Neurospora crassa OR74A: one gene and its partner. The protein of the gene in region 2 interacts with the protein of the main gene of each other region in a pairwise test. Links are inferred from orthologs where the notes say so. Each region holds a gene or a part of one and is shown on either strand. Other genes may lie near its edges.

Region 1 (4,005 bases), on a different chromosome or scaffold from region 2:
AAAGCTATTGTTGAAGTCGTCGACGATGGTGTTGCTGTTGTTGTCCTGTGAGTCTGGGACCTTGCAGCCAGCCTGCCTGGTACGACAGTGGGGTAGAAATCGAAACTTGCTACGGCCGGTTTCCCGTGGCTGGGAGACTTTAGCGAGCCGAATCACAACTAAATTCAGCAGGCTGGGAGGGGATGAAGATGGATGTTATTGTTGGCCTGCATCCATGACACATAATATTCCAGATATACATGATATATGCAGCTATGAAACCTTCCACCGACCTCAGTCCCCAGTTTCGTCTGTCTGTCAAAACTCGAAAGTGATCACTGAGTTGTCAAGGGCTCCATCGTTCGGAACAGCGGCAGGGCAGCGCAGTGACAGCGGACGGGAACGGTGATCTCGGCGCTTAAAAAGAGACTTGGCTTGGCTTCCGTCTGGAGGGGCAGCGTTATCGATAATGAAGGACCACAACAGCACACTAGGTCCGTCCGATCTTTGAGGTGGGAGGGATGAGACGCGCCATTGCAGCGAGGAACTGAAGATAACCTCCCGCCTCAGTGTTTTTACCTTTTCGCACACTCGTCGTTGGATGCTCAGTCATGTTATTTCGGCGCAGGAGCCCGGACACTGCAGTGGCGGCGCCGTTGACATGCTGCTTAAAATGGTGCGGTGCCCGACCGAAGAGTCCGATGTCGGCCATCTGCGAGTTAAATGTCTGTGCAGCATAATTGGGGGTGTAGAGTGCAGAGAAACTGCAATAGCTTCATTGTTCAAAGACAGACAACGACAGAGATGGAGCCAACAAAGTAGAAGCGCAAATAAAAGTTCTTTTGCGTTTCAAAGGGGATCGATGTATGCTCTCCATGATCAAAGACATCAAATCCCGGGCTGACTTCCAAAGACTGGCCAGGCCCGCAAGAAAGCCGTCTATGTACAGGCTAGCTCTTGAGAAAGAAAGAAAAAAGACAAAAGTATTCCCCCAATGGTATCCTAAAACACCTGACGTCCCATCCCATATCTATAGGAGACATCATTATGCTGCCGTTATTTGTCCTGTTATGTCGTATATGTAAAAAAAAAAAACGCCGCGTTGCTGCGGCCTCCCTGTGTTCGGCTCTTCATCTGCCCCCCTTCTCTTCTTCACCCCCTAAATATTGCCTTTACTGCCGCCATTGACTACCCTTTGGACAGGTGTCACACTCATAGAAGGCTTTCGCCGAGAGCGCACCTGACCAAGGAGCAACCAGCGCGAACAGTCTCGTGTGCGCCAACGTCGTTGGGAGCCGCCAAGGTAGGGTTGACCTCGACAAGATCGACAGCGACAAGGCTTCCCGTTTCGTGCACACACTCGCAGATGAAGTCGCCCTCGCGGAGAGTGAGACCGCCACGGACCGGGGTTCCCGTGGAGGGAGCCCACATGGGATCGAGCGCATCGACGTCGAACGAAAGGTGGATAGGGGTGTCGTTGCCGATGTGGCCGAGGGCCATCTCCATGACGCGACCGATGCCGTGCCTGATACGAAAGGGGTAATGATTAGCAAGATGCTCCGGGTATACTCATGTCATTCATCGGGGACTAGGCTTACTTGTCAATGTCGTGCATGCTGAACGCCTTGATTCCGTTCTCCCTGAGGATGCGCTTCTCACCCGGGTCGACATCGCGGAGGCCAATGTAGACCAGCTTCTTGACACTGAGGAGGTGGTCGGGCTTCAGCCAGCCAAAGAACTCCTCCTTGTCCTCGCTCGCCAAGCCTGTGAGGAAGCTGACGGGCATGCCGTGGATGTTGCCGCTGCCGCTGGTCTCGGGGGTATTGATGTCGGCGTGGGCATCGACCCAGATCACGGCAATCTCGCGTCCCAGGCGCTCCTTGATGGCCTTGGCCGAGCCGGCAATGGTGCCAATGGCAATGCTGTGGTCACCACCGAGAGTGAGGACCAGGCGACCCTCCTTGGCGTGCGAGTGGACCTGCTCAGCAATGCGCTTGGTCACGTTGGAGACGGCGCGCGGGTTCTTCATGTTGCGGTGAGGCGGGTCCTCCTTGGGAACGAGGTCAGTGTAGAGGTGCACCTCGTCATCGCCGTGCAGCCTGTAGCCAAGCTCTTCGCGGAGCTGGGTGAGAAGGCCGGACTCGATGAGGGCGGAGGGGGCGGCGTCGACACCAGGCTTGCACTAGAATTTTGGTCGTGTCAATGGATGCCAAACGCGTCAGAAAAAAAGAAAAAAATAAAGAGCATCACATACCTGGCCGCCGGAGAAGCCTACGGCAACAATGCCGAGGTCCCTTGGCTGGGAGAGAAACTTGGACTCGATTGGGGAAGACATGCCGAAAGTGTTGCCTGGTTTTTGGATCATTGGTGCCTTTGCGGACGAGGGAGCAGCTATATAAGCCGCTGCGTGGTTATCGACGAGGGAGGGAGACATTAGCAAAGAAGGAATGGTGCCGAAGAGGTAGGGTAGCAGTGGGGGTAGACGAGGGCTAGAGCTAGTGATGCAACCAAAGAGATCTCACAAGACCAAGATCGGAAGAAGGCTAGTGCAGTGTAGTGTAGTACGTAGTAGGTGTTACAAAGAGAATGAGAAGTTGTTGAGGAGAGAAGGAAGAAGAGAAATCAAATCAAATAGAAAAAGAAAAGAGAAATCAGATAGCTTTTTTTTTCTGAAACCCACGCCATGACATATTCACCTACCTTCCCGACCTCTCCATCCTAGCAAGGAAGTTTCGACATGCCTAGATTCCCACCGCTCATGCCCCGGTACTGGTCTCGGCGTGAACGGATCCGAATCACGGACCACGGATCACTTTATCCTCATCCCGCCCCGAGGAGGGATGGAGTCCGTTCCCAAGGCTCCAACAAGTCGGAAATGACGGCTATTGCCGGTACTATCCGACAATACCCTGGCATTTTTGCATCTTGTCTCACCGAGCCGAAGAGCAGATCTGGGCATCTGGCAGTGGAAGAAGGTGAGGGTAGGATTCAGTATTACGTACGGTGATCTTGGCCATGTGTCAAGGCCGCCAATAAGAGGGCCCTGATGGCGCCTCCTTGCTTGAGGGCCGACGAGGGGTTGATCAGAGAGTGGAGGGGCATCCTGTTTGACAGCAAAGACATTCGAAGCAAAGCTTGTCAGCCGAGTCAGCTTTGTGGCAGCGATCGCGAGGGATCAGCCCGGCCAAGCAGAGCAGGTGGTTGGAGACGGAGAGTCTGTGGAGGAGCATTCCCGCCAGTGGTGGCATCGAGGGTCAAGGCCCATCGTCTCATGGCTGCCACAGGTCCGAGTGGAGGTTATCTGAAGTTCTAGAAAACTTCCAATTCTCCATTTTTGCCCATTTCTGACTCAAAGCGGCGGGCCAGATAACTCGACTATGCGCCATGATAAATCGCCATTGTGGATAAAGTGCAACCAATGAGGGCCATGACTTCCTTTGACGGCTCAACCACCAGCGTTCGCCGTTCTCCGTCTCACGATACAAGACGTCCCCATAACTACCCCTCCAGAAGAAGAGAAAAGAGATCAGGAAACGAAAGCAGGAACAGATCTCATAGGGCCAAAGCAATAGATGAATTGTCTAGAAAGATCAATTCCGGGAGCCAACTCAAGAGAATTATGGTAAGAAACGGGATGTATGGTAGCAGGAACTCGAAGACGCAAAGGACCACCGCAATACATATCGATAGTCCCGCATAAACGTGATAACTGAGGGCTTTGAAAAAGACCGATCTATTCTTTCGTTGTCTTCAATTGAAACCTTGACTTTGAGTGAGGACTTCAGTTGGTACACGAATGGTAGTTGCCGTCGCAGAAAGTTGATGCTGTGGCCCTTGGTGATTTATCATGTCACATAGTTGATTTATCCGGCCCACATGGCAGGATACGAGCAGTCCAATTGACCGTCCCGGCCATACCCCGGTCTGTCAGAGGATGGTTTCGAGCACAAAAAAAAACCTCTACCCAGGATGCAGGCATTTGCCATGACACCTTCGACGACAGGACCGGAAGTCGGCAAGCTCGAG
Region 2 (3,731 bases):
TGCTTGTCGACGCCGCGAGCAGAGGGGACCGCTCGGTTTCGAAGTCGGAAGACGACATGTCGAAATGATTGTGCTGGATTCGGTTCTCAAGCCCTCATGAATGAAGTGTAAAGACTGAAATGGGCAATGAGTGGATGAATGATCGCAGGCAGACGAGCAATGGTAGATTGCCGTGAAGCTTGGACGCTCCTGCGATAACGACAACGGACGAGTTAAACGGTCGGGTGTTGGCAGGGAGGTACCTCTAGATACTAGGTTGATCAAGGATAAGATGGACTGGTAGGCTAGAAGAACTCGATATAATGAACAATATGTCTAGGGAAATTGATGAGAATGAATCGAAGAAGTATAGTATGGACGATTTATACTGGAATGCTGTTGCAACAAAGCAGGACGGTTGGTGTTTCGGCGACGTTGAGATTGAAGTTGGGCTCGCAGCCGACACATCAAGTCTTCGGATATGGAGGTACCTAGATCACGAGCCATGCACTAACAACATGATGCGTGAGTTGGCACTATTCTACAGGCTGACAGTGCCTTCATGCAGTTAAGGTAGTGCTGCACCAAGACGGGACTACACCAAAATAGCGGCTTCTACACTAGTGTATGCCCACAAGGTTGCCCTGTGCGCGACCGGGATCAGCTTCCGCTTAGGATGATTGGTCCTGCCGTGCCTGCATGGCTCTTGGTTTGCGTGACCTCCGGCGCCGGAACACGGAAGGAAACTCTTTGCCCTCACCCTTCCGCGAGGTCGCGATGGGACCGGTGACCGGATGTGCCTGTTCCCCTCGTCGGTTGCATCCAAATTCCCAGTGGATGGATGATGGACGATTGAACGGCATGCCCCTGGGTGGGGCCGCAACCCCGAACTTGGAGAAGCCCAGTCCCGCCAGCGGGCTTGCCCAGAGGCTCCAGACACCCCACCGGCTTGTCCCGTCGTGGTGTGGAGTGAAGCTCAAGTAACCAACCATTAAACAAGCTCCAATTCGTCAGACCTGCATGTACCCGTCCCTCACACTAAGTCTAGGGTTCTTATCCTGAATGACACACCTCATGCTGAGCTCCATTGGCGGTTGGAGGCGGGAATCAGCTGTGGCTGGGCTATTTGATTGTGAGCGTGAAGGAACTGAGTATGTAAGACCGCTCAAAGAGAGAGAAAAAGATAAAAGCAAGAAGGATAAAATAAAGAGTTGGAAGACAAACGTGCAGATAGCCGGTATCGGTGCAGTTTCAAAATCAAATTGTTGTGCAATTCAACTCTTGGCTGTTATCTTTTGGCCCAAGAGACCTATTCCCTGCTACCAAGCTCATCCCCGTAAGGGCCCTCAACAGTGAGCTACTTAATCGTCTTGTTCCTTGACTGTGGGTTTTGCAGACTGGGAAGAGGCTATTCCGAAAGTCTGGGGCTGAAAAGAGAAAGGACGAAAGACCAGGGTACCTGTGAAGAGTCACGGTTCGCGAATTGATTCATGAAGGAAGTGGAAAGGGCCTTGATAAACACTACCTCCTAGTACTGCAGCTTTCCCCCCAGGGCCACTCTTCCTGGCTGACTCACTTTCCCACTTCTTTCACAACTCATCTCTCATTTCTTAAGATACCCCATTGCACTTTTTCTTCGTTTGACATTTCTCTCCTTCCTTGTCCTCACCAGATACCCGTCTCACCTCACCATCGCCATCATGATGTCCCGGGCAACTACTCGCACCATCAAGTCCGCTGTCGGACAAATCCAGGCTCGCTCTGTGTCCAACAGCGCCGCCAGCAGTACCCCCCGCCATCTTCTCTCCATCAGCCAGCTTAGCCCTGCCGAGTTCTCCAAGCTTGTCCTCAATGCTTCTGCTTACAAGCAGGCCACCAAGGCCGCCTTCGCTGCTGGCCCCGGCCAGGTACCCCGCACTTTGGACGGCAAGCTAAAGGGACGGACCGTGGCCATGATGTTCAGCAAGCGAAGCACCAGGACCCGTGTCTCGACCGAGGCCGCTGTGGCCCTCATGGGCGGCCACCCCATGTTCCTCGGCAAGGATGACATCCAACTGGGTGTAAGTGTTAACTACCGTCTCGGCTCCATCGTCCCTCCCCTTGCCTAAAGGAGACACATACATGCGCAACGACCAGCACCTCGATCGCTAACGACACTTTCCACAGGTCAACGAGTCTCTCTATGACACTTCCAAGGTCATCTCCTCCATGACCTCGTGCATGGTAGCCCGCGTCGGTCCTCACTCCGACGTCGCCGACCTCGCCAGGGACTCATCGGTACCTGTCATCAACGCCCTGTCCGATGACTTCCACCCGCTCCAGGCCATTGCCGACTTCCAGACCATCCACGAGGCTTTTGCCACCAAGCCCGCCCACGAGGCCAGCCTCGGACTCGAGGGCATGAAGGTCGCCTGGGTCGGCGACTCTAACAACGTACTTTTCGACATGGCTACCGCCTGCGTCATGCTGGGCGTCGACATTGCCGTCGCCTCGCCCGCCGGCTACGGCATTCCCGACCGCATGAAGCAGATCATCCTCAGCGTCGCCGAGGGCGTTGCCAAGCCCGGCAAGCTGATCGAGACTACGGTCCCCGAGGAGGCTGTCAAGGACGCTGATATCTTGGTTACCGATACCTGGGTGTCCATGGGTCAGGAGGCCGAGACCCAGAGGCGTCTCAAGGCGTTTGCCGGCTTCCAGATAACCAACGAGCTGGCTAAGCGTGGCGGCGCGAAGCCCGGCTGGAAGTTCATGCACTGCCTTCCTAGGCACCCTGAGGAGGTTGATGACGAGGTTTTCTATGGTCCTCAGTCCTTGGTCTTCCCCGAGCCGAAAATAGGCTCTGGGCTGCCGTCTGTAAGTGAAGCGATCTTATTCTGCCCCGCGGATGAAGCTTGAGCTAATCACGTTTGTGCTTTTACCTAGCTGCCCTTGAGGCTTTCGTCGTCAACAACGGTAGGATACTTTGAGCAGAAGCGATATGACAAGGTTTCTTTTGGTTGCATCTTGGTTCTATCCACTCTTCGTACATCGTAAGCATATCATGGCAGCAGTAAGGCAGGCGTTGTATTCCATGGGTTAAGGGGGTTTGGTTGGTTAATATAACCATATTCTCAGTTACACACAAAAGTTCTTGGCTTTTTTTTTTCCCTCCTTCACATCGGTTCGTCTTATTGTATTCTATCTAGACGGGTAATAAGACAAAAGAGAAACGACATAAAATGATGACAGATTTTTCGAGATGCTGCAAAAGGCTGATCAACTACTTTTCATGTGATTCTTGTAACGCCGCTGCAGCTATTAGAATAGACGAGGCACATGAAGACAATTCTGCAAAGTGCGAAAATAAGAGGACCAATTGACCAATCCGATCCACAACTCCTGGGTAAATCCTTTCCCATTTTTCCCCCATTCCTTTTGCACACACCATCCCACATTTAACCAGGGGGAAGCTGGCTAGCATCAACAACGTCATCGGCCTCCTTCACATGGGTCTCCTCGCCGTGCTCGTAGAGAGGAGAGCGGGGCAGGGCCATGAGACCAGTACGGGCGGACTCAAGAATGCCGAAGGGGGCAATGAGCTTGAGGAAAGAGTCGATTCTGACGGGCTTCGCGGAGCTGTGGAAGAGTGGTTAGTAAGTAAGCTTGACAGGGGCGCGAGACCAAAGGGTGAATCAAACTTACACTTCGACAATGCAGCTGTTAGTGCTAATATCCAATACCTTGCCGCCGAACTGGTGGGTGAAGTATGTGAT

Evidence for each region. The genes of interacting proteins can lie anywhere in the genome.
Region 1: the proteins of arg-12 (region 2) and aga-1 interact in binary tests that used the Saccharomyces cerevisiae proteins (3 or more experiments, as listed by UniProt). The link is inferred for Neurospora crassa OR74A from reciprocal best matches to the Saccharomyces cerevisiae genes ARG3 and CAR1.

The regions. Positions count from the first base shown.
Region 1 is NC_026507.1:2,873,338-2,877,342, forward strand, and holds aga-1 (arginase), read right to left. Parts: upstream 2,632-4,005; 5' UTR 2,414-2,631; coding exon 2,234-2,413; intron 2,162-2,233; coding exon 1,578-2,161; intron 1,505-1,577; coding exon 1,192-1,504; 3' UTR 501-1,191; downstream 1-500.
Region 2 is NC_026502.1:2,757,938-2,761,668, forward strand, and holds arg-12 (ornithine carbamoyltransferase), read left to right. Parts: upstream 1-1,211; 5' UTR 1,212-1,679; coding exon 1,680-2,039; intron 2,040-2,145; coding exon 2,146-2,832; intron 2,833-2,901; coding exon 2,902-3,012; 3' UTR 3,013-3,231; downstream 3,232-3,731. Other genes in the region: NCU01668 (hypothetical protein), read right to left, coding at 1-58; ilv-4 (acetolactate synthase small subunit), read right to left, coding at 3,414-3,594, 3,661-3,731.